Linked DNA regions of Canis lupus familiaris. The protein of the gene in region 2 purifies or fractionates together with the protein of the main gene of each other region. This does not show direct contact. Links are inferred from orthologs where the notes say so. Each region holds a gene or a part of one and is shown on either strand. Other genes may lie near its edges. The genes, in order: KPNA4, NCBP1, NCL, PABPN1, DDX39B, KPNA2 and KPNA3.

Evidence for each region.
Region 1: the proteins of NCBP1 (region 2) and KPNA4 purify together in Homo sapiens (co-immunoprecipitation; 3 studies listed by BioGRID and IntAct, with this or other methods). This does not show direct contact. The link is inferred for Canis lupus familiaris from reciprocal best matches to the Homo sapiens genes NCBP1 and KPNA4.
Region 3: the proteins of NCBP1 (region 2) and NCL fractionate together in Homo sapiens (co-fractionation; 3 studies listed by BioGRID and IntAct, with this or other methods). This does not show direct contact. The link is inferred for Canis lupus familiaris from reciprocal best matches to the Homo sapiens genes NCBP1 and NCL.
Region 4: the proteins of NCBP1 (region 2) and PABPN1 purify together in Homo sapiens (co-immunoprecipitation; 3 studies listed by BioGRID and IntAct, with this or other methods). This does not show direct contact. The link is inferred for Canis lupus familiaris from reciprocal best matches to the Homo sapiens genes NCBP1 and PABPN1.
Region 5: the proteins of NCBP1 (region 2) and DDX39B purify together in Homo sapiens (affinity purification with mass spectrometry; 6 studies listed by BioGRID and IntAct, with this or other methods). This does not show direct contact. The link is inferred for Canis lupus familiaris from reciprocal best matches to the Homo sapiens genes NCBP1 and DDX39B.
Region 6: the proteins of NCBP1 (region 2) and KPNA2 purify together in Homo sapiens (co-immunoprecipitation; 5 studies listed by BioGRID and IntAct, with this or other methods). This does not show direct contact. The link is inferred for Canis lupus familiaris from reciprocal best matches to the Homo sapiens genes NCBP1 and KPNA2.
Region 7: the proteins of NCBP1 (region 2) and KPNA3 purify together in Homo sapiens (co-immunoprecipitation; 3 studies listed by BioGRID and IntAct, with this or other methods). This does not show direct contact. The link is inferred for Canis lupus familiaris from reciprocal best matches to the Homo sapiens genes NCBP1 and KPNA3.

What each region holds. Positions count from the first base shown.
Region 1 is NC_049255.1:26,770,054-26,774,262, forward strand, and holds part of KPNA4 (importin subunit alpha-3), read right to left. Parts: intron 2,707-4,209; coding exon 2,611-2,706; intron 1,869-2,610; coding exon 1,783-1,868; intron 1-1,782. UniProt on the Homo sapiens protein: Functions in nuclear protein import as an adapter protein for nuclear receptor KPNB1. Binds specifically and directly to substrates containing either a simple or bipartite NLS motif.
Region 2 is NC_049232.1:55,304,378-55,307,990, forward strand, and holds part of NCBP1 (nuclear cap-binding protein subunit 1), read left to right. Parts: intron 1-376; coding exon 377-491; intron 492-3,402; coding exon 3,403-3,531; intron 3,532-3,576; exon of another isoform or gene 3,577-3,613. UniProt on the Homo sapiens protein: Component of the cap-binding complex (CBC), which binds cotranscriptionally to the 5'-cap of pre-mRNAs and is involved in various processes such as pre-mRNA splicing, translation regulation, nonsense-mediated mRNA decay, RNA-mediated gene silencing (RNAi) by microRNAs (miRNAs) and mRNA export.
Region 3 is NC_049246.1:43,514,126-43,518,334, reverse strand, and holds the end of NCL (nucleolin), read left to right. Parts: intron 1-464; coding exon 465-622; intron 623-1,099; coding exon 1,100-1,223; intron 1,224-1,468; coding exon 1,469-1,602; intron 1,603-1,733; exon of another isoform or gene 1,734-1,812; intron 1,813-2,188; coding exon 2,189-2,315; intron 2,316-2,386; exon of another isoform or gene 2,387-2,521; intron 2,522-2,699; coding exon 2,700-2,923; intron 2,924-3,113; coding exon 3,114-3,190; 3' UTR 3,191-3,595; downstream 3,596-4,209. UniProt on the Homo sapiens protein: Nucleolin is the major nucleolar protein of growing eukaryotic cells. It is found associated with intranucleolar chromatin and pre-ribosomal particles. It induces chromatin decondensation by binding to histone H1.
Region 4 is NC_049229.1:3,702,690-3,707,378, reverse strand, and holds the start of PABPN1 (polyadenylate-binding protein 2), read right to left. Parts: upstream 3,350-4,689; 5' UTR 3,342-3,349; coding exon 2,991-3,341; intron 2,642-2,990; coding exon 2,527-2,641; intron 1,806-2,526; coding exon 1,738-1,805; intron 1,476-1,737; coding exon 1,369-1,475; intron 506-1,368; coding exon 418-505; intron 330-417; coding exon 178-329; intron 1-177.
Region 5 is NC_049233.1:1,178,663-1,183,510, forward strand, and holds the start of DDX39B (spliceosome RNA helicase DDX39B), read right to left. Parts: upstream 3,024-4,848; coding exon 2,813-3,023; intron 2,011-2,812; coding exon 1,883-2,010; intron 1,587-1,882; coding exon 1,494-1,586; intron 1-1,493. UniProt on the Homo sapiens protein: Involved in nuclear export of spliced and unspliced mRNA. Component of the TREX complex which is thought to couple mRNA transcription, processing and nuclear export, and specifically associates with spliced mRNA and not with unspliced pre-mRNA.
Region 6 is NC_049230.1:14,375,582-14,379,667, reverse strand, and holds the end of KPNA2 (importin subunit alpha-1), read right to left. Parts: coding exon 3,946-4,086; intron 2,350-3,945; coding exon 2,200-2,349; intron 1,355-2,199; coding exon 1,262-1,354; 3' UTR 1,008-1,261; downstream 1-1,007.
Region 7 is NC_049243.1:2,065,122-2,069,330, reverse strand, and holds part of KPNA3 (importin subunit alpha-4), read right to left. Parts: intron 3,029-4,209; coding exon 2,897-3,028; intron 1,955-2,896; coding exon 1,826-1,954; intron 1-1,825. UniProt on the Homo sapiens protein: Functions in nuclear protein import as an adapter protein for nuclear receptor KPNB1. Binds specifically and directly to substrates containing either a simple or bipartite NLS motif.

The DNA.
Region 1 (4,209 bases), on a different chromosome or scaffold from region 2:
ACCGCATCATTCACAATATCCAAAATATAGAAACAACTGAAGTGCTCAACGATGGATGGATGGACAAATATGTGTGTACACACACACACACACACACACACACACACACACACGCAATGGAATACTCAGCCATTACCAAAAAAATGAAATACTTGTAATCAGGACATCAATGGGCCTTGAGGTACTAAGTGGAATAAGTCAAAAAAGAGAGACAACATATGATTTGTTGTCAATCAAAATACATGAACAAACAAAACAAAAATTCATAGATGCAGAAAACAGACTGATGGTTGACAGGGCAGGGGTTTCAGGAGGTGAGTGAAATAGAAGGGGTCAAAACATACAAACATGTAATCATAAAACAAATAAGTCATGAGAATGAAATGTTTAGCATGGTAACCATAGTCAATAATATTGTACTGCATATTATGTAATCTGATATGATATTAGGGGAAATGAGACTTCTAGTAATTACATCTTGGTGCATACATTATGTTGTATACCTAAAACTAATTTAATGCTATATGTGAATTACATTTCAATTACAAAAAAATAAAAATAAAAAAAAATAACATCACATGGGTCTTTTGGCAGACCAGCAATTCCTGTCACTACATGAGACCTTCTGAATCAGAAAGTGGTTCTTTTTTGTTTTTGTTTTTTTTTTTAGAAAGTGGTTCTGTTGCTTTATAACGAGGATGGGAAACATAGAGAGAGGTCTGTATCAAACAAAATAATACTAAATTGAACAAATGATTCTTCTCTTTTTTCTTTCTTCCGATACTACTTTGAAAAATGCTATTTAAGTACATGTGGATCAACCATGCTTTACTCATAAAAAATAATCATTCATCTATTATATTTGGTAAAACAAGACAGACTGGCAGTGTTAAATTCTAAGGCTCCTGCTGATTTTGAAAAAGCACATAAAACAGAAAAGAAAAAGAGAGATTAAAACATTGTCTTGAGATTATAAAATTTACTAGTCAATTATATAAAATAAAACCAAAAGCAAAATCCAAAATTAAGCCAGTTTTATCATGATTTAAAGGTATTAGGGTAGTCAATATTCTATGTAATATTACAACAGAAGTGTCTACATGATAAAATGTTTACTTGGATAACACCTTTGTTTCCCTTCAAAATCATGTAGAAAAAAAAATAAAATAAAATCATGTAGAAATTAGTGCCAAGGTCTTAACAAGCTTATGCGAGTATATTGCTTACACATGTGAAGAGTATTTTAAAAGTACCGTCTATAAATTATTAATTTCTTTGATAGAAGAACAGTATTCATGAAAATAATACTCAGGTTATTTCTTCCAGTAATAATTTCCCACTTATATCTCTTGAAACATAAAAGAAAAACAATCCTAATAACAATGAAAAAATTTCAAGCCATTTTTCAAGACTATTTTCTAAAAGATTAAACCATATGATGAAAATCTCCCTAAGAGAGGCCAAAAGCTAGTATGGCAATGCAAAAAACATCTTTACTTTATGATTTCTATAAATGAAGTATAACTACAATAATGTAATCTGCTACTATAATTAGGAAATGTTCTCAGATTTAGCATTAAATGAATTTTTGAAAACAGAAAATGTCAGTCACTGGGACAAAATGACAAAGTAACATACTTAAGCTGGCCTATTTCAACTACTCTGTAATTGGGTAGCTATTATTTTATAATCTAAATAGCTTTATTCTTTTAAGATAATCACTTTTTTTTTTTTACTAACTTCTTTAGAAATCACAATTTTATCTGTTAATCACCAACTTACTGGACTGAACTACTGCTTGAGTCTGTTCAGAGGTTCCAGATGCAATGTTTGTCAGAGCCCATGCAGCTTCAAACTGTAAAGAAGGACTACAAAGAACAAATCATTTTAAACAGTAGGGATTTTTACATTGGTCCAAATCTAGTATCTACCAACCATTCCTCCCCTCAAATATTTTTTCAAGTATTAAATATTTTGTTTCAGAAAGTATTTATGTATCCAGCACTTTTTTTTAAACCTCCAATGTATTTACAGTATCTCTTCAGTATAAAAAGCACACAATTTCCTCAAGTGTCCTACTTATTTTTAGTAAAAACTTTTTTTTTTTTTTGAAACTTTATTTCTTCATTTGGAAGAGACAGTGAGCACTTAAGAGAGAGCATGAATGGCATGGGGGCAGGAGAAAGGGGAGAGGGAGAAGCAGGCTCTCTACTAATAAGCAGGGAGCCCGACCCGGAGCTCAGTTCCAGGACTTCAGAATCATAACCTGAGCCAAAGGCAGACGCTTAACTGACTGAGCCAACCAGGTGCCCTAAAAACTCTTTATTAAGATACCTGCATATTACTGCCCAGTTTTCTCAAGTACTAATCAGCCAAACCAGCTTTTGCCAATTTTCACAGTTTAAAAGATAAATGCATCATTCTCAAGTATTGCTTTGGCCTTTATGTTTACCTCTTAATGTAAACACACCTTGCATTTCATTGTTTTACACTGGCTTTTCGACTCCATCTTATAGCCCCTTTCTTTTTTCATTAAAGATCAAACCACTAGAAGATCTTGTCTTCTGCAAAGGATACATTCCAAATTTCTTTCTAAAATAAAGTACTTACTTGTCATCTCTTTCAAGACAATGAACTAAAATAGGCAATATTCCAGATTTTATTAAGTCATCAATTGGTGGATTTCGATCACTGGACAAAAGCTTCCTGTAAGAGATATACATACTCTTGTGAAATGATATGTAATTAAATTCAAATTCATATTTGACATAGAGATTACACAAACCCTCACCCATTTGAATACCCCGCACAGCAAAAGCTTAATCAGATCATTCCCCTATAAAAATGAAGAAATGGCTGCATATTTACTACCCAATAAATGTAAACTCCTTGCCCTGGCTTAAAGTATCAGTTGGCTCCATCTTACCCAACTAATCTTATTTTCTGTACTTCAACAATAGATCAGTTGTCTGTCTCACACTTTCAATCTCACTTCCAGGCTCTTTAACATCTCATTCCCCATACTTGGAATGCCCTCCTTTCTGTCTATTCAAAGTCCATTTCAATTTTTATGTTTTCACAATATCCTCTCTAAATTCCAAGAACATTTACACAGCACATGCTTACATTTGCTGTTGAGTATCACCTTATTTTTAACATGCCTTTGCCTTCTCAATTAGGTTCTAAAGCTCTTATATAGCAAGAATTATGCCACAAGCTTTTTTGCAGTATTTTCCACAGCACATGGCATAATTCTTAGCACAAAGTAGGAAATAACCCAGTCTTTCTTTTTTTTTTTTTTTTTAATTTTTATTTATTTATGATAGTCACAGAGAGAGAAAGAGAGAGGCAGAGACATAGGCAGAGGGAGAAGCAGGCTCCATGCACCGGAAGCCCGATGTGGGATTCGATCCCGGGTCTCCAGGATCACGCCCTGGGCCAAAGGCAGGCGCCAAACCGCTGCGCCACCCAGGGATCCCTAACCCAGTCTTTCTTAATCTAGGCTCCAGATTTAAAGAAATTTTTTCTACTATTTCATTGAGGACATTCTCAAAGATTTTGAAATGGCCTTCCCTCTTATGTGTGCACAATGGCACATACAATATCTACAAGATATTTGAAATCAGTTTTGCATAACTGTCTACTTGATTTTGCTATGGTACCATCAGGTTTTAATTAGTTGCTTTTACAACATCAATATAAATTGTTAACATATTTAAAACAGGCAAATAAAGTCTTAGTATTATTGTGAAAATGGGTTTGATCTTTTATACCCCTGAAGTTGTCTCAGGATCTACTAGAGACCCAAAGACCATAATTTGAGAATATCTGCCTACTTAGGGGCCTTAGGGCTTTAATTATCTTGTAGAACTTCTGTTGAGAAAAGCTCCAAAACTCAAATAATCTACTGAAAATAGTGAGCATAATGCATTAATTTCTTAATAATTCTATCTATAAACACTAATTTGCATTTTCAGATGTGAATACTTCTGTGATTTTTTTCCCTACATAACCAAGTCCTCTCTAAGAAGTTCTTTTACCCATAGTGGGCAACACTGTTAATGCTGTAATTTTCCCATCTGTTCCAGGTTATTTAAAATGAATACATAAAAGTAGGAAAACTCTAATACATTTTTTAATAAAAGATACATGCACTAGCTAAGATATTCGATGGACCAGTGAAATTTCCCACTATGAAATTCTATAAAT
Region 2 (3,613 bases):
CTCCAATACATGATGTTTAAATTTAGAAGAGAGAAAATAATATTTTTGTTCCTAATGTAACATACTTTTTTCTGGTTTGCCATTTCGCTTCATTGAGTATGTACACATACCTTCTATGCATCTCTAGTAAGGGATGGAAATAAAAATGACAAGGACCCAGTACTACCTTCAGGAAGCTTACCTGAGTCTAATGGTTAGAAATAGAGTTTGCACAGTTAATAATACAAAAAATTTTAAGTGTTACGGAGAAATATGACTAATTCTGGCTACTGAAGAGTGGAAGACCTTCAGAATGAGTAGGTCATACAAGTTGAGAGGTCTTATTTTCTGTAAGTGTACTTGAACACGCAGTAACTAAATGTTATGTTACTTTAAGATTGTTTGTTTGGGAAATTTTGCACTCCACAATTCGTAAGATGAACAAACACGTTCTCAAAATCCAGAAAGAGCTAGAAGAAGCTAAAGAAAAACTTGCAAGGCAACACAAACGGGTAAGTCTTCTGCTGGTTTGCAAATGGTCAAAGAAAAGATGCCAGAAACTCTTAAAAAATTCAAAGTTCATTACCTTGATGGGAACTTTTTTTGTTTTGTTTTTTGTTGGGTTTTTTTGAGGCCAAATTATGCAGACTATTGTAGAAGTAGAGGGAGAGGAAGGACCTGGGGGTGTGTTGCTCCCTGCTGTTCTCCTGTGTGATAAACCTGGAAGGAAGCCACAAACCTTGCTTTTCCATACTTCTCTTTGAATCCACTTCATGTTTGCCCTTCCCAAAAGGGAAGGCAGAGAAGGAAAGAGGACACTTGTATTTCTCTAAGAGTTTCTGGTGCAAGAGGAGACAGGGAGACTGTGCACCACTTCCCCAGCACTGTGGAAACCTTCCCTGGTTTATGGAATACTTCTCATATTAAGAAGTATGGTTAGCCATTTTGGGGGGAAGCAATGAACTATGTTCCATGATTTTGCATAATAGTACTACTAGTGTTTATGATAGTATTTTCCAGTGATGTGCATATTTACCAGAGTAGGTGGAGACAAATGTAATGACTTACCTGAACCTACAGCAGGTTCAAGTGCTAGTCTCCACATACATTCATATATGTGTATGTATGATATATAAACATACATTCACAAACTTAAAACACTGCGAGGTAAATGATATCATCCCCATTTAGTAGATATCCAAATTGAGGCTCAGAGAACTTAAATAACTTGTTCAAGCTTACATGGTTAATAAGTGACAGAGGTTGGGATCTGATCCAAGCCTGTCAAATTCCAGGGACTTCCCTTCATGCCACACCATTCTCTAGATATGTGGTGTCCAACACAGTACCTGCTACCACATCTAACTAGAAGTTAAAAATCAAATACAATTTAAAATTCAGTTTTTTAGTCATATGAACCCCATTTCAAATGCTCAACAGTCATGTATGGCTAGTGGCTACTGTGTTGGGCAGCACAGATTTATGTAACGTTTCCCTCATCACAGGAAGGTCTACAGGCAACAGTACTATAGAACCTAGCCTTAGTGTGGTATAGGAAAAAGACCACCATCTACCCAATTGCCTACAAGATAAGGCAGGTGCTACGTTAGAGATAAAAGAATTTTGTAAAAACGGGGAGGTTCTGATAACTTTGTCTAAAGGGTAGAAGGCAACCATCCCAGAAGGAGTATTGCCAACAGTGTTATCTAGGAGGAAGTGGGTTTTCCAGGTCTGGTGACGCTTACTTTCTTACTCAGAGGACCAAAGGACTTTAGTATGTAACATACCTGGAGTCAGGTTCTAGCTCAGCTGCTTACTAGCTTTATGACACTGAGAAGGTCATCTAACAACTAAATTAAAAAGACAACACCTAAGTGAATGCTCTAAGTTCTTCAGGGTGAGCTGGAAGGGAATTGTTAAAGCTTAATAGAGTTGTATTGAGCCCATCATTGCCAGCGGAAGCTTGAACGGTCTGCTTTGAGTTATATGTAGTCGGAGCTATTTCTAAATTATTGCAAGGATGAGCAGGTTCTCAAGCTGTATGCCATTCTGCCCAGCTTTTCTATATGGCCCGTTAGATGAAAAACTGGCACACTGCCTCTCTCTTGTTACTGTTGAGGCCATATGGCTATGTATTAGTGACTCAGTTGTTTTGCTGGCCATCTACTTTGTTGAATGAGCAGTAGCAGAGTTATAGGAATATACTGCCTGTCCTCATTATTTGCGGGTGCTGATTTTGCAAACTCACTAAACTTTGTGACCTCAAAAATCTATATTCGCAGTGCTTTCCCCGTCATTCAGACATAGGCAGAGCAGTGAAAATTTTGAGTTGCCCAGTGAGCTTGTTCCCAGATAAGGTTGAACAAGGCAATACTCTGCCTTGTTTCAGTTCTCATACTATTTAAAAAAAAAAAAAAAAAAAAAAGGATCCTTTTCAAGGTGTATTTAGTGCCACATTTGAGCTTTTGTCGGTGACTTCACTGTTGAAAATGGCCCTGAAGCATAGGGCTGAAATGCTGTCCAGTAGTGCAGGAAGGCTGTGAGGTCTCTGACAGTAAAAATACGTGGATTACATGAGCTTCGTTTGGTGATGAATAACTGTGCTGTTGGCCATGAGTTCAGTGTTCACAAATTTAACAATAGGATAGATACATTCAGAAAAAGGAAATTCACCAATTGTACCTAGGCTGTTCCATCAAGTTCTAAAAAAACATCTGTAATGCTGTGGTAAAAGCAGCTCAGTTTGTGGATTCATAAGACAATGACTGATTTTTTTTTTTTTTTTTTTTTTTTTTTTTTGACAATGACTGATTTAAAAAAAAGTGGACAGCCAAAGAAGTTGACAGTCACATTACTCGGGGTCAGGAAAATGTTAAATCTTTCTCAAGCAGTTTAAGTATAAAGAAACATTGTATATAATTGTAAAACATATATTAAATAAGCTATCTTCAAACAGAAACACACATAAGGTTACGTATGGATCAGTTGACAAAAATAAGCCAAAAGGCTCCCAAGAACCTAACCCTGGATTTCCCTAAGCAGTGGCTCAGGGTTCCCAGCAAATGCATAAACAGAACTATGGTGAATAACAAGAATCTGCTACACACTTTGCATGGAGCTCAAAGCTGTATTCATTTTGAATGGAAGAAAATGTGACACACACTTCCTCCCTGAATGGGCTACCTTGTAAAAGTTGTAACTCATCATCCAGGACAGGTGCCACTAAGGATGGCCTAGCTACGTGCCTGCAGGCCTTTTGGGTGTATGCGTGTGCCGTCGGGGTGGTGGAGTACTTTCACCAGAGAATACAGGCTTCAAGTGGCATTTGACCAGACACAAGAACATCCTTCCCTTTGACTTAGTGAGATTTAATATGCTGGAATTCTAAATGGTATTTTCCTTTTGTTCCTGTGCATCTTGCAGCGAAGTGATGATGATGACAGAAGCAGTGACAGGAAAGATGGGGCTCTAGAGGAGCAAATAGAAAGACTGCAGGAAAAAGTAGAATCTGCTCAGAGTGAACAGAAGAACCTCTTCCTTGTCATATTCCAGGTATCTTGGCTTGGGACACTGATAGGTTAAAAAACAATGTAGTTCTTTAGGCTTGAAAAATGTTATTTTTTTTAATCATAAT
Region 3 (4,209 bases), on a different chromosome or scaffold from region 2:
GCTTTGTAAATAATAGCAGTTACGCAGTGAAGTGGGGTTACTAGAAACAGTTCTTCGAGGTGTACTTGGCAATCTTGGGTAGTACGGGAGGAAAGTTTTAATTGAAACACAGAACATAGCAGAAAACCAAAACATTTCAGTTTATTTGAAACTTTTTTATTGTACTCTTTGAAATAAGGTTCTGTTGCTCAGATTAAAACATTTGTTAAAAGACTGGTTTTTAAAAATGAGTTCTCGGGACGCCTGGGTGGCTCAGCAGTTAAGCGTTTGCCTTCAGCTCAGGGCATGATACTGGAGACCCTGGATCGAGTCCCACATTGGGTTCCCTGCGTGGAGCCTGCTTCTTCCTCTGCCTGTGTCTGCTTCTCTGTCTCTCATGAACAAATAAAATCTTTTTAAAAAAATAAAAATAAAAATAAAAATAAAAATGCGTTGGTTATGCCCCCCCCCCCCCCTTTTTGCAGGATTGCTTATATTGAATTTAAGACAGAAGCTGATGCAGAGAAAACCTTCGAAGAAAAGCAGGGAACAGAGATAGATGGGCGGTCTATTTCCCTGTACTATACTGGAGAGAAGGGGCAAAGTCAAGATTACAGAGGTGGAAAGAATAGCACTTGGAGTGGTAAGAATTTATAGAATTCCAGGATTGACAGAGGGAAATCTTTGCATCTTTGAACTTTCCTAAGTTAACTAATAAATTAGATGTATGTAGGTATCAAACAAGTTATGCCTCTGTAGTGATGATCATTCAGTTCTTGAGTAAAAGCTATACAAAATCATTTTGTTTTAGAACACAGACAAATCTAGCTTTTGTGTGTTTTATACTTTAGCTTAGATGGTGTGCATTTTTAAATTATAATCTAGATATTCTAGGAGGATGTAGACCAATATTTTTTTACATCTCTAGGTAACAGGGAGGAAACTGCATGACAAATACTTAGTAATAAATACTTAGTAACAGGTGGAAGTCCACCTGCATCGACATTGTCATGTTGATAACTCTTTGCAAGTGTAGAAGTTCTTGAATAAGGTATTCTAGTTGTGTCTAAACTTTAGGACCATTGTTTCAGTCTTCATTTGGCATTTTTTTTCTTTGTAGGTGAATCAAAAACACTGGTTTTAAGCAATCTGTCCTACAGTGCAACAGAAGAAACCCTTCAGGAAGTATTTGAGAAGGCAACTTTTATTAAAGTGCCCCAGAACCAAAATGGCAAATCAAAAGGGTAAAATAATTACATCTTTAGGTTATCAACTATGGGCTCTAAGAATGTTTTGCATAGATCTAAAGAAGGGGGGAAGGTAAATTTTTTCCTGGATGTTACTGGAAGCTGAATCCTATAAGCCTCCACAAGTTGGTTTAAAGAGTATCATTTAGGTATATTCTTGAGGTAAAAGGCTTGGTGGCATTAGATAATATAGGAACCGTGTGCTTGGTAACTTGCTCTGAGTATTGATTATTCTTCCTCAGGTATGCATTTATAGAATTTGCTTCATTTGAAGATGCTAAAGAAGCTTTAAATTCCTGTAATAAAAGGGAAATTGAAGGCAGAGCAATCAGACTGGAGTTGCAAGGACCCAGAGGATCACCTAATGCAAGAAGCCGTAAGTTATATTTATTAGGGTGTGGTGGTGTGGGTCAGCACTCCTTAGTGTGCTATGCTGCATTGGTTGTTTTTTTGTCCAATTTAGAGCTGGACATTTGTGTTTTCCTCTTGTTGCTGAGTGAAGGATACTGGATATGATGACTGATTATCTGAGAAAATAATTGATGAAATCAAGAAAATTCCTCTAGATAGTCAAGTTCTGATCCAGCTATGTCTTCTCTGAGCAGCACATCTGCCTCTGGTTACTGCCTTGTGCGGTGATCATAAAAGCTGTCTGCTTAGAGATTGCCACTTATTTGCATTGCTGCTCCTGCTTTCCATAAAGGATCTGAGACCGGATCTCTGCTGTTTTGGTAATCATTGTAAGCTTAAGATGGTGGTGATCTGTGACTTATATTTTAATTAAGCACTAGTTTGCTAAGTTTCTTTTACCTGTTTTTGTTTCCAAACAGCTTTTGGGTGAAAAGCAAGCTTCTGCTAAGATGAGCATTCTTGGCCTGTAGTTCCATACTGGACATTATTGAAAGCCAGCATCCAGTTAAGAATTGTGGCTTTAGGTAAAATGTACAATTTTTCTTCCGTAGAGCCGTCCAAAACTCTGTTTGTCAAAGGTCTGTCTGAGGATACCACAGAAGAGACATTAAAGGAGTCATTCGACGGCTCTGTTCGGGCAAGGATAGTCACCGACCGGGAGACTGGGTCCTCCAAAGGGTAAGATGATCAAGGAATGAATGTTCAGTGTCTGCCTAAGTAGAGACACCCCCCCACCCCCCATCTAGCGTATCTTCTCATTGAGCTCCTTTCTGTCAATTGGTGGCAGTTTATGGATTCGCACGAGAAGAAGAGACAATTCACAGTTAGCATTATTTTACCTTCTGTCTTCACAGAGGTATATGTTGCTGTTTTGTGAGACATCTCTGAGGTTCAAGCAGTCAATAAAACCAGTTTTGATCTTCTATGGGGAGCTACTATTATTACTTGTGTCTTAGTTGAGCAAGTTTACTTCCTATGGGATCACTATTCAACATGTGAGGTTAATCTTGGCACTTGTTTTGGTATGTGTTGTATAATGGGCAATTTCATTTTGCATTTTAGGTTTGGCTTTGTAGACTTCAACAGTGAGGAAGATGCCAAAGCTGCCAAGGAGGCCATGGAAGATGGTGAAATAGATGGAAACAAAGTTACTTTGGACTGGGCCAAACCTAAGGGTGAAGGTGGCTTTGGAGGCCGTGGTGGAGGCCGGGGTGGCTTTGGAGGCCGAGGTGGTGGCAGAGGAGGCCGAGGTGGATTTGGTGGCAGAGGCCGGGGAGGCTTTGGAGGTAAGGAGGCTGGGGGAGGGACTTCCTTGTAATATGCATTGAACATTGTGTGGCATATGCACTTCAGAATGTGCTCAGAACTCCGGGTTCCCTGGATCAATCTCCCAAGTTCTCATATGATCACTCTGGGGAGGGGAGGACTCCTGGCAGCTTTGTACTCATTCTTTAATGATGTTTTGCTTTCCTATAGGGCGAGGAGGCTTCCGAGGAGGCAGAGGAGGAGGGGGAGACCACAAGCCACAAGGAAAGAAGACGAAGTTTGAATAGTTTCTTCCATCCCTCTGTCTTTTCCTCTTCTGTTTGAAAGAAAAGGACTCTGGGGTTTTTACTCTGTTACCTGATCAATGACAGAGCCTTCTGAGGACATTCCAAGACAGTATGCAGTCCTGTGGTCTACTTGGAAATTCGTATAGATAACATTTCAAGGGAGATACCCTGTTGGTTTTGACTGGATATTCATATAAACTTTTTAAAGAGATGAGTGATAGAGCTAATCCTTATCTGTAAGTTTTGAATTTATATTGTTTCTTCCCATGTACAAAACCATTTTTTTCCTACAAATAGTTTTTGTTTTTTTTTTTTTTTGCGTTGGGGGGTGTAAAGGAAAGCAGAATGTTTTATCATGATTTTTGCTTCAGCAACTTTGGGACAAATTAAAAGTCCTAAACTCTGGTGCCAGACTTGTACTTCCTCCTGGACTGTCCCTGAAGGTGGAGCATGGCAAAGCCAGCTCTGCCACTCCAGATCCAGCCCACCACCCCTGCTGGAAATAATTAGTTGGTTTCAAGCATCCTGGCTACAAGTTTTGGTGAAATGGCTGGTAAGGTAACATGAAAGGCTTGTATTTTTTGTAAGTCCTCCAACAACTTCAGGTTAAACTAACGAGAAGGGTCTTAGATATTAACACTATGTTCAGTACGCCCTCATTTAAGTACTCCTTGTCCCCTCTGCCTCTACTAATAAAAGTTAGGGGCCACATGAAAAGTCTTTGCCAAGGGATTAACAGGATTACTAAACAGTGCCCCAGATGCTACAGAGCAGAGATTTTTTTTTTTTTTTTTTAAGATTTTTTTTTATTCAGAGAGAGAGAGACTGAGGCAGAGACATAGGCAGAGGGAATAGCAGGCTCCATGCAGGGAGCCCGATGTGGGACTCGATCTGGGGTCTCCAGGATCACACCCCAGGCCATAGGTGGCACCAAACTGCTGCACCACTGGGACTGCCCTCAGAGCAGAGATCTTAAACCTAGCTATCCAAATCCAAAAGCCCGTGGATTGTAACCAACT
Region 4 (4,689 bases), on a different chromosome or scaffold from region 2:
ATGAGACTGGCCTCCTGGCCTGGCCTGCAACTACCTTCCTCACCCTGCACAGGCAGGAGACCAAGTCCCTGGAGACCAAGGGGAGGGTAACGTGAGGGAGGTTCCTCAGATCAGGAAAGAAGGAAACATACAGGGCTCATGGGAGGCGGGGGAGAGGAGCAGCCCATCTATCCTGACCTGTAGACGCGACCCCGGGGCCTGCTGTTAAAACCACTGTAGAATCGAGAGCGGGAGCTGTTGTAGTTGGTAGTCCGGGCACGGTATCGGGCTCGTGGGAAACCCCGGTCTGTTGTGCTGATGCCTGGTCTGTTGGTTCGTTTTGGGATCACCTGAAAGTGAGGGATATACAACAGAAAGTCTTAAAATAAGCCTGGAGAGTTTGCACAGAACCAGAACAGCAATGAGTACAGGGCTTACCTTGATTTGTCTTCCTCTAAATAGTGACTCATCTAAGGCCAAGGAAGTCCTCACTGACTCTTTGTCTGAGAACTCTATATACGCAAAACTGAAAAAAATAATTGTCATTTCATTCATCTGAAGTTACAGCAGCTTACACATCAAATCCAACTTGCAGGTATGCCTGAATAACAACAGGGCCACATATTTATTTATTGGTCAATTTTTTTTTAAAAAGATTTTTATTTATTTATTCATTCATGAGAGACACGGCGGGGGCGGGGGGTGGAGGCAAAGACACAGGCAGAGGGAGAAGGCGGCTCCATGCTGGTAGCCTGAGGTGGAACTTGATCCCAGGTCTCCAGGATCAGGCCCTGGGCTGAAGGCAGCACTAAACCGCTGAGCCACCGGGCTGCCCTGGTCAAATTTTTTTTAAATGGAATACTTCAATCTAAATTTCCACCTACTCTTAAGAAAATTATAAAATAGTATACAAACAGCCTGGATTGCTAAGCAAATGCTGTCCCTCCTTTTTCTTTTTTTTTTTATAATATTTTTTTTATTTATTTATGACAGTCACACAGAGAGAGAGAGAGAGAGAGAGAGAGAGAGAGAGAGGCAGAGACACAGGCAGAGGGAGAAGCAGACTCCATGCACCGGGAGCCTGACGTGGGATTCGATCCCGGGTCTCCAGGATCGCACCCTGGGCCAAAGGCAGGTGCCAAACCGCTGCGCCACCCAGGGATCCCTGTCCCTCCTTTTTCTAGTTCACAATCCCACTCATGCTAACCTTCATCTTTATGTTTGGTCTCTGAAGGCATTTACGTGACCCGATATGTATATGTGACACTAACGCCCTAACCATAAAACAAACACTGCTTATTTTAACAAGTTAACGCTGCTCAATACAAAACATTATTTATCTATTTCTAAGATGTGATTAAAACAACCTCATTTTACTTCTCTACTTACCCTTTAGGATGGCCACTAAATTTGTCACAGAGTATGGTAACACGGTTGACTGAACCACAGCCATGAAAGTGTGCTTCCAACTCTTCTGCTGTTGCACCATAGTCCACCTGTGAGGGTAGAGAAGGTTATATTTCACAGGTACCCTGCCTATCCTCTCCAAAATCACATCAACTCTCGTTCTCTAAGAAGTTAATCTTCTCTTCCCAACCCCAGAGCCTCTGCTGATCTTCATTTCCTTTTACCTCCTCCAAACCCTCTCAATACTCCCCCAACCTACTACCTATCCTTGAAATATTCCTTAAGACTCCTATTAACCAACTCCCCAAACAAGAGCCTTCCCACAACCCCAATCAGGGCCCCAATACATACATTGCCAACATAAATGGAACGGGCATCAGCCTCCATCTTCTCTTCAATGGACATGATCACTGGGCCAGCTTTGAAGAAAAAAGAAAGGGAGGGGGGGGTGGCAAGAAACTGGTTTTCTATTTGACCAATATATGCATCACTACCACCACCACCACTACAGGGAAGGCAAAGATTTTGGTCTGTTGTGTTCCCTGCTGTACCCCTTACCAAGAATACTGTCTAGCACACAATAGATGCTTGGCTGAACATCTGACTAATCAAGCAACAGATTAACATATCCTTAAAAAAAAAATCAGAGAAAACAGTACAGGAATTTCTCTCCTGCTCCCAAATCAAGACCCTATTGAACAGCTTTGACTCAAATCATTTTTAAAGTGAACAAAATCAAGGGAACCCAAACTCAACAGTTCTAGGTTAAAGAGAAAGCCCTCTGCAGTCGAGTAGCTTCTTTTAGGACTCCTAACTAAAGGGTCTCCAACTAAAGGAAGAACTATGAGACTTGAAGGTCAAATGCCAGTTGGCAACGTCCACAAAGAGTAGAGGTAGACTAAAGAACAAAGAACACATTTGTAAAAAGGACAAAGAAAGGCACAAAATTACCATCATCAAAATAGAGATTCTTGCCTCACTAAGGTCAGAAAAAACACACAATGGACTATGACCCCAGCACCTGCCCAGTAATTGCTCATACAAGCAGCTCCAAGGTCCCGAGCATCTAATCCCACACAACCCGTGCTCGCAGAACCCTTCCGAGGACCCGGGCTCCGCGTGCAACCGCCGGTTACTCACCATTGCCTGGAGGTGGACTCATATTCATCTGTTTCTCTACCTCGTTCTGTAGCTCCTTTAACTTCTCAGCTTCTTCCTCCATCTCCCTGACTCGAGCTTTGATCGCTTCCAGCTCCTGTAATGAGTGGAAAGGGTATGGAGAAGAGCTTAAGAGGAACCAACGCAGGGGCTGCGCCCTGCTCTCCGTCCAAGCGCGGCCCCAGCCATGCTCGGCCATTTCCCTCGCCCCACGCGCGGGTCGCGATGAAAAGAAAAGCAAGCTACCTTCTCTGGAACAACACTAGGCACCCATAACGCCCGAATCAACCCGGCTGGGCCCCTTCTGGACGTCGAGGATCCGCGCCCGGCCCTGCCCCAGCCACGTTATTCCCCGCCCACCCCACCCCCCGCCTGCCTCCCGCTCGCCCGAGCTCTGGGCCTCCCGTGACACGGCCAGGCCTGCTCGCTCGCCCTCCTTCCCTCACCGGGTCCTCAATGGCGCCGTCCCCCGGGTCACCCTCGACCAGTCCCGGCTCCTCCTCCTCCTCCTGGCTGCCGGGGGCTCCCGAGCCAGGCCCAGGGCCCGGAGCTCCCGGGGGGGCGCGGGGCCGGGGCGGCTCCTCTTCGGGCTCGGGCTCCGGCTCGGGCTCCAGCAGCAGCTCCTCAGGCTCCAGTTCCTCAGACTCCAGGCCGTTCCCGTAGTCCCCTGCGCCCCCCGGGGCCCCCTCCCCGGCCTCCCCACCGGCCCCGGGCACAAGATGGCGCCGCCGCCCCGGCCCGGAGCCCCGACCGCCCGCAGCCCCCGCTGCTGCTGCCGCCGCCGCCGCCGCCGCCATCGCCGCTCAGACTGGGGCCCGCCGCCCGGCGATTGGAGAACAGCGCCGGGCACGCCGAGGATTCATTAGTCTAGCAACCTGCCCGTCACCACGAGCTAGGACTCCATTGGGGGATATTACTTGGCAATCAAATAAGACCCCACCCCTAAGGCGGGCTATTGCGCCAAATTCTCAAATCCCGGTAGGGGAGCTGGCCTGTCAATCAACATACGCCCCACCTCCTCTCAACCCCTTAGGTAACAATACCGCCACGCTGTGACGACATTCCTGCCTCCCCCCACCCCCACCTCCAGGCGGATCCGCGAGTATATGACGCTCGGTGATTGGCCGCTGGCTAGGGCGAGGAGACAAGGCCAATCTTCCGATCGCCTCGCAGCAATAGCCCTCTCGGATGCCGATTGGCTCGTGAGATTCGAAGGGCTAACATCCGTTTCGTGACAGGTGAACCTTGCCCCGCAACGGACGGCAAGGCTTCCAGCCATGGAAAGCCGAGGTCACATGACTAGTCCTTGGCGGGGGGCCGCCATCTTGACGCTACTGGTCGCCGGCTGGAGAGATGTTAGAAAGCAGTGGCTGGAAACGTTGAGGCGGTTTCTGTAAACTGGTTTGCTAACCAGGAAGCTACCAGTGGATGGAATGTTGCTGGAAATGGAGGTTCTGAATGGAGCTCTCCAGTAAGATGCTTGCTTTCCCCATCCAGGTACCAAAAGGTACCAACACCCATCAGGTCTCCCAAACCAGAAAGCAGGAAGGAATCTTCAGTCCAGAGCTACCAGTCCTGTCTGATCTGTCTTCCTTGTGCAGGCATACTTTCCAAGCCCGCTGCTCATGCCTCAGTTTCAGTTTGTTTCTTGGGCTGTTTGCTAAGCCCCCTAATAGATCTCTCAGCTTCCAGTGTCACTCTTAACAGTCCTCACCGCTACCACAGTGAGCTGGCTCCCCTTTGCTGGCCAGGTAAAAGTAAAACTGTACCGTGGCCTTAGAGACCTCAGGACCAGCCTACGTCACAAATGTTATTTCTACACTCCTCATTCCAGGGGGTATACCTGCACCCAGCTCTGTGCCTCTGTACATGAAGTCCCTCTTCAACCAGACCACTGCAAACCTAAGCATCACCGCTCGTGCAAAACCTTATGCTAGCCTCCTCTCCTTTCCCATGACTAGCAGGCCTACTACCTCCACTGTGCACGTAATCATTTTGTCCTGCATCCTGAGAATTTGGAGAGGAGAGGCTGGATCCTATTTATATTTGCAGCTCCACTGTAGGGCAATATGCTTGGCACATATTGTCAATAAATGTTTGCGTTGACCGGGAATCTGGGTGCCACCCTCATCTTCAACTCTTTCG
Region 5 (4,848 bases), on a different chromosome or scaffold from region 2:
GGAGATATGACACTTAAATTATTGTTAAAGAATTAATCTTCAAATATAAAAAAAAATCGCAACCAATCTCTCATGAAAAGAAATAAAAAACACTCATAAGGTTATAAAACGAGAGAATAGTACCTAATACTTGGTGTCACAGAACCATAACGAAAAAAAAAAGGTTAACAAATGATTACCTTCTATGAAGTTCGATTAGAGGTAAGAGAACACAAATCTTTTCATCATGAACCTTCTATTACTTCAGCATATTTACTGCATGTTTACCCCCACATTGTTATTTATTACTACTTTGGTTCTTAAGACTACTTCCAATTTAGGGGTGCCCGGGTGGCATAGTCCGCTAAGTGTCAGCTCAGGTCCCAATCTTAGGGGTCCTGGGATATAGCCCCATGTGGGACTCCCTGCTTAGAGGGGGAGTCTGCTTCTCCCTCTCCCTAGACCTCCCTCCCCACCCGACCCCATCCCGTTCGTGTGTGTTTGCTCGCTTAAATAAAATCTTTTTTAAGAATTACTATTTTTAGTTTAGGGCTAGGACTCAACACATGAGTAACAGGAGAATATCACAACAATCCAAACAAAAGTACTGTTTTTCACCACATCCTAGTCAGGAAGGTAGGAGGTTATACACATCAGCGCTTCTCAAACTCCAATTACCTGAAGATTGTATTAAAATGCATGTTTAAAAAAAAATAAAAAAAAAAAAAAAAAAAAAAAAATAAAATGCATGTTTAAAAAATAAATTAAATAAATAAATAAATAAATAAATAAAATAAAATAAAATAAAATAAAATAAAATAAAATAAAATAAAATAAAATAAAACAAAACAAAATAAAATGCATGTTTATACTCAGTTAGGTCTGGGATGGTACCCATATAATCAGCATTTCCATCAGGCTTCCAAATGATGCTCTAACTAGAGGTCTGGGAACCATACTATGAAAATCAAGATCATATATGGAAAACCGCCCAAACCTCGTCTGTTGTGGCCCCTAAATATCTTTCAATTTTCTGCCATTTTAAAGAATCCTCAAAATTCACACACCACACACTTAAAGAGATATTTTGAAGCTTCCAGCTTTCTCTTGCACACATCCTAGAATTCTCAAACTGTCAACCAAAGCACAATGAAATCATTCAAAGTCAGTATAAAAAAGTAGTAAACCCAAGTGTAGTACTGTGGTAAACATCCTCCAGAACCCATTCCATGCAGTCTTCCGCTGCTAGCTATATTAACATGATGTGTTAAGAACAAACTAAAGCTTCTCCAAAATTGGAATATAGTGAACATATCAGAAATTGCAATGTGTATTCAAGTAAACCATAGAATGTAAATCTCCTGCACACCAAAGTTTGCAGAAACTGACCAGCTATTACAAGTAAATGACCTTCATATAAAGTTAATTAATCATCTGAGAAAATGAAGACTGCTGGTCTACAAGTCTTCAATGTCTCCAACTCCCCACACTCTCCCAGGTTTATCTTGGCTTACCTTGACATTGGGCATGTATTTAGAGAAGCGCTCATACTCCTTGCTGATCTGAAATGCCAACTCCCGGGTGTGACACATCACCAGCACAGACACCTTGGGTGGAGGGGGGAGTACATGGAGATAAACAGTATATACTTACTATCCCCTCTGGGGAACCAACTGTCACAAAAGCACATCTGACAGATCATAAATTACTTCAATTCTGAGATCTAAACCATTAACCCCATGATTACTATGTAATATCCCCCAGGGCCATCAGTCAAAGGTGACAGAGTTCATCTTAGCCACAAACACTCATGGCTCTAAAAGCATCACACAGCTGAGACAAAACACCCTTCTCCAATATTCCTAACCAAAAATGTCTTCCATAGCACTCTCCCCAAGTGTACCTGTCCAGTAACTGGCTCCAACTGTTGTAGTGTGGCCAGCACAAACACTGCTGTCTTTCCCATCCCTGACTTGGCCTGGCATAGGACATCCATTCCCAGAATGGCCTGAGGGATGCACTCATGCTGGACTAGAAGCAGGGGGAGAAAAAAGATAAATTAGACTTCAGTCTCCAGATAACTCCACAACCTTTTTTCACCATGTCAAACCCATTTCCCACCCCTTCTTAAATGGTTATCAATTTCCAGACCCCTTCTACCTCTCTGCTCCCTCAGATTTATCTCAAAACCAGATAGACCTTCCTAGTTCCTTCTAGCTTTAGCCTCCTCCAACTCCAGTGCCCTCCCCCCACCCCACAAACTGCAAACAACCCTCTTGCACCTACCAACAGTTCACCTTTGGTGCTTCTGACTCTGTCCCGACTTTCCTTGATCTGTAACAATCCAGGACATGTGACTGCCTGCCCCAAGCCATTTCTCCTACTTAGCTTCCCTTGCTTTAAGGCTACAAAACCTTGCAACTCTGAAGGGGTTGGTAGCTGATCCAGAAGCCACCCATTTTAGACCAGCTATGAAGATTTCCAGAGACCAGAGGTGGCCTGGCCCAACAGGGAGAGACTAAAGGTCCAACCAGTCCTCTCAGGAAATTCAAATTTAGAAACCTAAACAACAAAATTAATAACAAGTAGACAAGAATAAATGCTGGTCACAAGCACAAACCTCTAAGTTGCTTTTAGGTCACTAGCCTTTTCATGTTATCGTGAACAAAAAAACCAATCTATATAAATCTTTCCTACTGCTGAAATAGTTTTTGACCTTTATTTCCTAAAGTAGCCTAAATAAGAACGTTATTACATTAAGTGACTGTTTAACACACCTTTTTCTTGTATCCTTAGAGAGCCTAGTGAACACTATGACCTGCAGAAAATTTACCTTCTGATGGATGTTCAAAGCCACAGTCAACAATGGCCCGGAGCAACTCTGGCTTCAGCAGGAAGTCACGAAAGCCAGAGCTGTGGATGGAGACGTAGGAACCCTTGACATCCTTCTTGGCAGGGGCCTCAGACCCGTCTCCCCCAGCTGCTGTCTCTACTTCATCTTCTTCATAGTCCAAGAGTTCATTGTCCACATCATTTTCTGCCATAACTGGGCCGGCAGGGGGAGAAGGAGATGGGTCTCTGGATGGGTTCACGCAGAATAAGTAAAAACAGAGGAGGAGAGTGGGGGCTGGAGCAACAGTTAAAAAAAAAAAATACCCTAGTTTGTGATAGAAGAGCTAGGAAAAAAATAGATGGAGGACTTATTAGTCAGGAGCAGAGCCTTCGCCCCTCTTTTCCATCCCCACACTCTTCCCACTTTCCCTAAACTGTGACCCCTTTACCTGGGGATAAAACTAACAGGAACACAAAACATAAAAGCAACAGCAAACATAACACAGTGGTCCCAAGTGAGGTGGTTGAGACACAACTTTTCAACAAAATTAGGATCAGAATAGCATTAAGCAGGAAGTAGGAAGGGGACAACCAGCCCATGAATTCCTCATCTGTAAGCAACAGTAATGAAGAAAAACGGGTAACGAAAAGCAAAGTAGGACAACGGAGTGAAGAATGGAGATGACAAGGTAAGTGCTGAAAATCCTCACAGGACCTCTCTGCTTTCCTAGTAATCTCCCTAACAAAGCAGCCATCAGTTACTGGTGATAGATTAAGGTCATCCTAGCGCAAAGCGCTCACTCCTCGAAATAACATCATGTGGCTGCCATCCACCTCCCACTCCTCAGGAACCTCCCGGTGTCTAAGGGGTCCCCGTGTAACGTGGGGGAGGGGATACAGAAGACGTGGCTGGGACGGGAAAGTACTCGTCTCTTCTCCATAGAACGAGAGAGAGACAGCATTCGCTCCAGCTCTACCAGGAACTATAGCAAAGGGTCTTCTGTTACTCCTCAGATCAGACTCCTCTCCGATAACCGACATGACACCACGCATGAACAAGTGGAAAATGTTCCAAGTGATGGTTGGTGAGCTCACAGAAGGGTCCAACCAGGCTCAGTAGTCGGCTCCTCCTCCAGTTCCCACCTTGGGCCATTAAGAGGACCCACAGAAGAGAGGAAAAGTGAAAGGAGCCCCGCCCTCCGCAAATGCCCTGGACTAGAGGACATCTACGCCGCCTCTCACCATAGCTAGGGCCTCGGATAAACGAGAAGCCCAAGCGAAGAAGCAGTGAGCGAAGGGAACACAATGGCGCTGGGGCCACCATCTTGGATTGGGCCCCCTAGCATCGCTACCCCCCCCTCCAGAAACTCTTAAGAGCTCTGAAAAGGGATGCAAGCAATAGAAATAATGACCCAACTAGGCCCCAAGGACCAGACTATAGTCTGTGGAAGGGGTATCAGGAGTCCAGGGAACAGGATGGCCGCAAAGAAACGCAGATGGAGGCGGATGATACCGAAGGCCAAAGCTTACCTGAGCAAGGCGAGCGCATATGGCGGCGGCAGCAGCGACGAAAGAGGGACTCTGCCTTCACTTCCGGTTTTCGCCTTCTCTCTCCCAGGCGCCTCGCCTTCCCGCCTGCCAGCACGCAGGCGCAGGAGACCGGAAGAAGACCCTTTCAGATTCGAGAGTTCCGCGCGCTCCGGGGTTGCCTTTAGAAAACGCCTGTGTGGATTTTTTTTTTTTTAAAGGCACTTCTAACTCCTTCGCTACTGCAAGTAACAAAAGCCTTGAAGGAAACTAGCATCGTCTCCCACTGTTACCTCTTTTCTCTGTCCTCGTCCACTCCGCGTCCCTCACCTCTTCCCTCGGGTTCTTGCCGGCAGGTCTTCTCTCTGGTCACCCCTCCGTGGGCGCCCCGCTCGGCAACAGGCTGGCGGGGCTGAGAGTTCCCACGGGGTCCTCCGCCCGGTAGTCAAGGTGACCGGCGCGTCCTCGCTGGAGCTAGTCTGACCCCAGCTGAGGGGAGGGAGTGAGCCG
Region 6 (4,086 bases), on a different chromosome or scaffold from region 2:
AGCTGTCCAATATCAGCAGTGGAGGCTTGGCTCATTACTTTTCCATGAATCAAAGGAAAAAGACAGTAGTGCTTTTAAGGTGCATTTCATTTGTCCTTAGGACTAGTGGGGCTCCTTATTAACCCTCCCTTCTCCTTCCCCCAAGCCCATTTCCTATGCTGCTAATAGTAACTATTCCTTAGATTAGTGCCTTCCAACCTGGACTGTACAGGAAGAATGTATGGGGATTAAAATTAAAATATCAGATACTGGGACCCCACCCCTTACCAATTAAACAGAATTTGTGGGTAAACTTTCCAGGTGATGCCAACAGCTTTGAAACCATGTTCAGCCTTGAAGTTTGGGAGGAATGAATTCTACTTGTAGCTTGAGACTTCTAATTTTATATATATAAATAAATAAATATATATATACACATGTGTATATATATTAAATTTTATGTACATGTATATATTACACACACGTATATATAAACATCCTAATTATGATTAATATGCATACATATACACACATACATATATGTGTAGAATATGTGTATGTATATATGTATATATATATATTTTTTTTATTTTATTTATTCATGAGAGACACAGGCAGAGGGAGAAGCAGGCTCCATGCAAGGAGCCTCACTCCCTGGCCTCACTCTCACTCCCTGGCCAGTGAGATTTAAAGGAGATATTGGCTGAAGCCTTCTGGGAAATTCTGTTCATTTTCTTATGCAAACTTCTGAAAAATTCTATTCTGGCTGGAGTATAGTGGATATGAAGCTGCAAGTGCCAACAGCCATTACTGACAAAGAATGGAAGCAGCCTAGAGCAAACCCAGAGCTCAGAAGTGGGCAGAAGAGTTATGACTCCTTTATCTTTGAGGACATCACAAACCTGATATCAAATGTCATCTGCCACCAGAATTACACCTCTGGTTGGTCACATTGGTTTGGTTCTGTCACCCTTCATCTGCAATCTTAAGAACTCCAAATTAGAAAGTAATGCATAGGAACGGTGAGGTAGAGAAAAGGGTGGAATTTAATCTTTATTTACAGGACACTGTAAGATAGAAGATTCCACATAGAAATAAGCAACCCACTGAGAGGAGGAGCTTCATACAGTTTGTACAGTTCAGAACTGGTCAAGTATAGTTTCGTTGTAAAAAGTGCTACAATAACAAAACACATTTAAAAAGAGTTCTTAGTAGAGAAACAGTAAGACAAACTTCTACCAAACAGTACACAACAAACAACTTTCTGTCTCAGCTGTACAATCTAAAAGTTAAAGGTCCCAGGAGTGCCATCCTGAACTTGGAATGTATAGCCTTCAGAGGTAGTTTCGGGCACAACATTCTGATCTTCCTCTTCCTGGAAGTATTAAAAAACAAAACCAAACAATATAATTTCACACACATAGCACATTTCTAGGAAGTAGCCTGCCTAGAAGTCTCTATTTACTCTTAAGGTCTTCATCTGCATATTATACTAATCAATGCCGTACCATATTTCAGTATTTGAAATAGTGGAGGGAAAGCTGCTGAAAACTTGCCAATTCAGGAGCGCCTGGGAGATGGAAGATTCCGAATGGACTAAGGAATGCTACCACAGCAGACTTTCTTCCCCACCTGTCACTTTTCCATAGGAAATGGGAAGATGGGGATCCCTGGGTGGCGCAGCGGTTTGGCGCCTGCCTTTGGCCCAGGGCGCGATCCTGGAGACCCGGGATCGAATCCCACGTCAGGCTCCCGGTGCATGGAGCCTGCTTCTCCCTCTGCCTGTGTCTCTGCCTCATTCTCTCTCTCTCTCTGTGACTATCACAAATAAATTAAAAAAAAATTAAAAAAAAAAAAAAAAAAAGGAAATGGGAAGATGGCCTATTAGCCCCAGAAGATGGCAGTGGGGTTGGCCCACTTTTCCATCATCTCCTATACAAACTTACTCTCAAGATACTCTAAAGTCCTTAAGACTGTTCATTCTAAAGAAAGAGGGGTAATTTTTAAAAAATTTTTTTTAATTTCTAAAGATTATATGATCATCAAGCCAAATATTTAAGAAGCAAAATATATATATACATTATGTCCTACTCACACTGATATTTTGCCATATTTAACAAGGTCACAGGGCTCATTTAAAAAGTATAAGGAAGAAAAAAATCTTATGGGCTTGACTTTGTGTATTTTCCAAATTCTTGTTAACTTTACCATGTTACTCACCTCTACAGAGAAATACTTCTCAATCAAGTTTAATGAAGCTTTGTACACAGACTCGTTTTCATGGTTTTGTAGAGCTTCAATTTTGTCCAAACCCCCACATTCTTCAATCATTATACTAAGTTTCTCAGTTTCACCTAGTTTCTCAGCAGCCTAAAAAAAATATCCAAGTTTAGTGGAATTTACTGAATGTTCTATTTTAATGAAAACCGTGAAAAAAAAAAAAAAAAAAAGGAAAACCGTGTTTATGTTTGGGTATTGATGGATCTCAGACAACCACTTTAAAGTTCCTTCAACAACCCTATGAGATGGTTTTATTTCCAGTTTACATTTTCAAAAAATTCAAGGTGATCAGATCTATACTTGTTCTTAACAACTACTTCTGTAGCTCTCAGCTAGATCTTACAGTAGGTCTCAAATCATTTCTATGAATCAAAATCACCTGGGCAACTTTAAAAATGTTATCATAACCAGGCAGCCCCGGTGGTGCAGCGGTTTAGCGCCGCCTGCAGCCTGGGGTGTGATCCTGGAAATCCGGGATAGAGACCCACATCAGGTTCCCTGCATGGAGCCTGCTTCTCCCTCTGCCTGTGTCCCAGCCATTCTCTCTCTCTCTCTCTCAATAAATAAATAAATTAAATTAATAAAAAATTAAAAAAAAAGAAAGTTTAAAAAAAAACAAAAATAAAAAAAAATAAAAATGTTACCATAACCAAGTTTGGTCTTTGATGGGAACAGAATATTACTGTTTTATAAAAGCACCTCAGGGGTGCCTGGGTAGCTCAAGCCAGTTAAGCATCTGACTCTTGGTTTCAGCTCAGGTCATGGTCTCAGGGGTTGTGGGACTGAGCTCCATTTTGGGCTCCACTCTCAGCATGGAGTCTGCTGAGATTCTCTCTCCCTCCCCCTTTGCCCCTGCCACACATGCTCAGGTTCATAAATGAATGAATAAATGAATGAATGAATGAATGAAAGAAAAAATCTTTTTTAAAAAGCACCTCTGATAACATCAAAGTGTAGTCAAGGTAGAGAACCATCGTCTAAGGACAAAGATGGCCTAAGGTGTATAAAAATAAACATCCCTGATTGGATTACTTACTGATAATCAAGAATTTATTAGGTATAAAAATGACATTGTGGTTTTAAAGTCTTCAAATTTTAGGATACATAAATTTTTACAGATTAAATAATTTATTTGCTTCAAAATAATTTAGAGGGTTTAGGTAAGAAGGAGTAGAAAAATAGGCCAAATGTTGACAATTTATTTATGCTGGGTGACAGATACACCAAGCATCATTATTCTAGACTCTTCTAGGTAGAATTTCCATAATCAGAAGTTTAAAGTCATTAGGTAGGACCTACCTATCCCCAACCACTGTGACAAAGTGTCATATGCTAGCATGCTCGGGTCAATTAGGAAGGGAATCAGAAAAAAAATAAAATGGATAACTAAGTCATCAAAATTTAATTTCACCATAATTCAGTAGGACATTGAAGAATTAAAGATTTCTGACAAAATAGATAGGAATGAATTGTGTCCACATATGGACTTGATTTAAATTCAGGTCATCCCCTTGTCATCTCCTTTAAATCTCTTATAATCCCTTGTCACGTCTTACCAAGAGTGTGGCCCACATAAGCAGCCTTTCTAATTCTGTGGCCTACTGAGCAAACTTAGCTGCCCTCCCGTGGGTTAAAATATCATCCATTACCATCAAGGCCAAGTTCAAATGCTACCTTATAACTTACCTGAAAGATGTTTGAAATGGCATCTAGAATAACCAGAATAATTTTGGTATCTTTTGCAGTTAAGAGGTTCATCAATGGTTCTATTATGCCACAATGAACGAGGTATACAATCTGTTCAACTGTTCCACCACTTGTATAGTT
Region 7 (4,209 bases), on a different chromosome or scaffold from region 2:
TATTTTAGTTTTAGTGTCAAATGTTGTCTCTTCTTCTACAATTAAAAAAGTTACCTGCAGATTTATTTTGCCATCCAATGTGGTAAGATCTTACTAATTGGTAAATCAGTGTTTAGAGTATATGGGTGTTCACTCTAATATTCTTGCAAATTTCCCACAGGTTTGAAAAATTTCAAAAATGCTCAGGGAATATGGGGTGCCTCAGTGGCTCAGTTGGTTAAGTGTCTGACTCTTGATTTTGGCTCGGATCATGATTTCCGGGTCTTGGGATTGAGCCCCATGTCAGGCTCGGTGCTCAGTGAGGAGTCTGCTTGGGATTCTCTCTCCCTCACCCTCTCCCCGCAAATTGTGCTCACTCGCGCACAATCTCTCAAATAAGTAAGTAAATCTTAAAAAAAAAAAATGCTGAGGGAATAAAATCGAGTTTTATTCTACTTTGAGGATCCCATAATGATCCCAAGTGCAAATAACACAAATGCTCAAAGGTGAAAAACTTCTGAGGAGACTTAACTGGCTGCTGAGGCTTAGTAGCTATCTATGTGAACCCTTTCCCTTTCCCCAGTGATAATTTCACTTAGAGCTTATCGATCACAGGCCAGAACTTCTCTGCACCCACTTCTGTCCAGCTTTCTCAGCTCTGTTTCCAATTATGGAATACATTTAGCTGTAAAAATCACCTATATTACTGAAATTTCTACAGTAAAAATTTAACTGGCCCAGAGTCTAAAAGACTCTGCCCTCTTTCCCTTCATTGGAACAAATGTATTCATAAAATGCACTTTTTGACAATATAGTTTTCTTAAGAATCCAACAGTTGAATTATAGTTGAGTTACTATATATAAATATAGCTACGACACAGAAGAAATGATCAATTTTGCTGGTTTTGGGGATGGTGGCATTTTAGGCAGAAAAAACTACATTAAACTAAATGCAAATCAAAACCACCAGACATCGTTTCACAACTACTAGGGTGGCTATAATAATAATTTTAAAAAAGGAATTGGAACCCTCATACAGTGCTTGTGGGAATGTAAAATGGTACAGCCGCTACGGAAAACAATTTGGCAGTTCCTCAAAAAAGCTAAACATAGAATTACCATATGACTGGGCAGTTCTACTCCTAGATATATACCCAAAAGAACTGAAAGCAGAGACTCAAATAGACACTTGCATGCCAGTGTTCACTGCAACATTATTCACAACAGCCAAAAGGTAGAAAAACTCCAAGTGTCCATCAACAGATGAATGGATAAACAGAATGTGACATATATGTACAATGGAATACTTATTCAGCTATATAAAGAAATGAAGTTCTGACATATGCTCCAACATAGATGAACCTTAAAAAAATTCTGCAATGTGAAATAAGGCAGACACAAAAGGAATAAAGAACTTAAGTATATATTTAACAATTAATAATAAGGTTGTATCTCAAGTTTGAGATTTTTAAAAAAGACTTTTTGATCCTTTAATTTAGGCACTGTTTCTTTTTGGTCCAATTTAATTTCATAAAGAGATTAAATTATGATCTGTTTATAAAAGATACCAGCCATCCAATGAGAGATTTCATATGTATTCTCACATACTGGCTACTGTTTTACTGGTTTTTGCTACCACCCAATCTATTTACGTAAAAACACTGATTATTTTATCAGGGCAGCACTTATAATAAAATACAGGGGTGTTTTGAAATAATTCTCATCTTAACTACAGTGGTTTTGAAGAAAATCATGATCAAACCAAAGCAACAGAAAACAAGGGGACAGTTAAAAAGAAATATATAGAGAGAAAGAAATGCACCAGTGAGGCTATTATATGCCTTACCTTATTTATCTTCTCTTTTGGGTGTGATAAGAGATTTGGAAAGTGTGACAGGACATCACAGTTGAGAACAACCTGGGTCTGCTCATCAGTGCCAGTCACTATGTTGCCAACTGCTCTGAGTGCTGCTGTCTGGGGTGGGGAAAAATACTTTCTATAAATTTGTTTATGATGAAAGGATTTTGTATTTTTCATAATCCCAGGAAAATGTAAAAATGCAAGGGGTGAATGATTGACACTGTATTCTTACACAAAGTACTATGTAGAACCGAGAGGCAATTTTGAATTATAAATAGGTCTTATAAAAAAATGGAATTATATAGAAAAACTATGAAAAACTGCTGAGAAAAGATTTAAAAAATACAAAGAAACAAAAATGTAAAAAGTAAAGGTTCATTTTAACAATTGTCTTTTTATCTATTACTAAATTGTACCACAGAAATATTTTATTAAAGGCTTGGGATGGGCACATATTTCCATCTAGACAGTCACTTTTGCAGAAGTGGAATGAATATCAGCCACCCAACAGTAATTAGAGTGAGGAGAAAGGAGAGAGGAGGAAATGCAGTTTAGGATGCTGTTGCAATTATCTGGAAGGGACAAAAAGACTCTTGAACTGAATCAGTGGCTCTAGACACATAAGGAGTAGATAGATTTGAACGCTATATATATAATAAGAATTAACAGGACTTTGTAATGGAGGGGAAATGAAAGAGGAATCAGGTTTCAAGCTTGGGCTGTGTGGTCTATTGAAAGGGGATATATAAAGACGGGAAGGTTTGTGGGAGAAGATGATACATCTTAATTTTGTCTGGTCAAAATGGCAATGGGATGCCTGAAGGAATTCTTGGAGGAGATGTCTAAGTGCTCAAGGACAATTGGCTATTATGAGTCTGAAACTCAGTCTGGGTCAGATAAAGCTTTGGAAACCAGCAAAATCAGATGCAGTAAAATAGAAGAGAAATATGGAAGATATATGCACAAAGACAGAACTGAAGCCTGGTTGTTCAAGTTTTAACAGATTACATAGCAAACATGATTCTATACAAGTGAGAAAAATTTTAAAATACTTACTTGAACTTTCACTTCCTGGTGGCTCAGAAGGGGCACAAGAAATGGTACAACCCCTGAGTCAATAACCATCTGTATCTGCTCATTACCTCCATCTGTCAGGTATGATAAAGCCCAAACAGTATCAACCAGAATCTACAGGAAGTAAAAAAATAAAAAAAAAAATTACGAGTGTAGGTATTTGTTTGAATGCTTAAAATACATTAACATACATGAGAGGTAGTGACATAAAAAGTAATTAAACTTTAGGTTTTAGCTGGTGGCAAAAATATTTGCTTACCTGATTAAATCTACTAGGCAGCAGAGAACTCTCCCAATGCCTACCTCAGATCATTCTTCACAAAAATGAGACACAGAAAGAAGTCTGAGACAACTTCTACCCTAATTTCTGCATTTATATATTAGATGGATGAATTTAAAAACTGGCAGGGGGCTCCGGTGGTTAAGTGTCCAACTTCTGATTTGGGCTCAGGTCATGATCTCAGGCAGGTGAGATTAAGCCCCACATCAGGCTCCATGCTCAGTGGAGAGTTGAGCCTGCTTGAGATTCTCTCCCTCCTTCTGCCTCTCTCTCTGCTTGAGTTCACTCACCCTCTTTCTCTGTATCTCTAAAATAAATAAATAAATCTTTAAAAAAAAAAAAAAAAAACAGGCAAAAAAGTTTTTCTCTCTGCCCAAGCTGAGTACCTAATAATTACAAGGAAACACTTTATATACAGAACAAGACCATATACCAGATGCTTCAAGTCTATCCAAAAAGATACCAATGATTTTCAAACATATTTAACAATATAAATAATTTTTCAGGTTATTAAAGTAAACAGACAAAAGAAGCAAGTTGGCATTTTAACTTTGGGGGAAAGTTTAATTATTTGCAAAGCCCTTGAAAAAGGCCCTCAAGTGAAGAGCAGAGAGTGTAGGCCATGCCCTAAACCCATCTGATTTTGAAAATAATATAAGAGCAAAAGAAAGCCTCAGGTTTGCTGACTTTCTCAAAGTCAGAGAGTTCATATGTAAGCACAGGTCTTATCTCATGTAAAATCTGGAGATGTTTCTTACTAAGGTATCCAAATTAAAGAACGCTGCTGCTGCTTTAAAATAATGCTACCTGAATTAAAATCCAAATACATATGTGTCAAAAAGTATAGAGATGAATAAAAACAGCAAATAAAATCACATATGGAGGCACCAGGGAGGCTCAGTTGGTTAAACATCTGCCTTTAGCTCAGGTCATGATCTCAGGGTTCTGGGATCGAGCCCCACATCAAGCCTGTTTCTCCTTCTGCCTTTTCCCCCTGCGTGCACTTTCTGTTTCA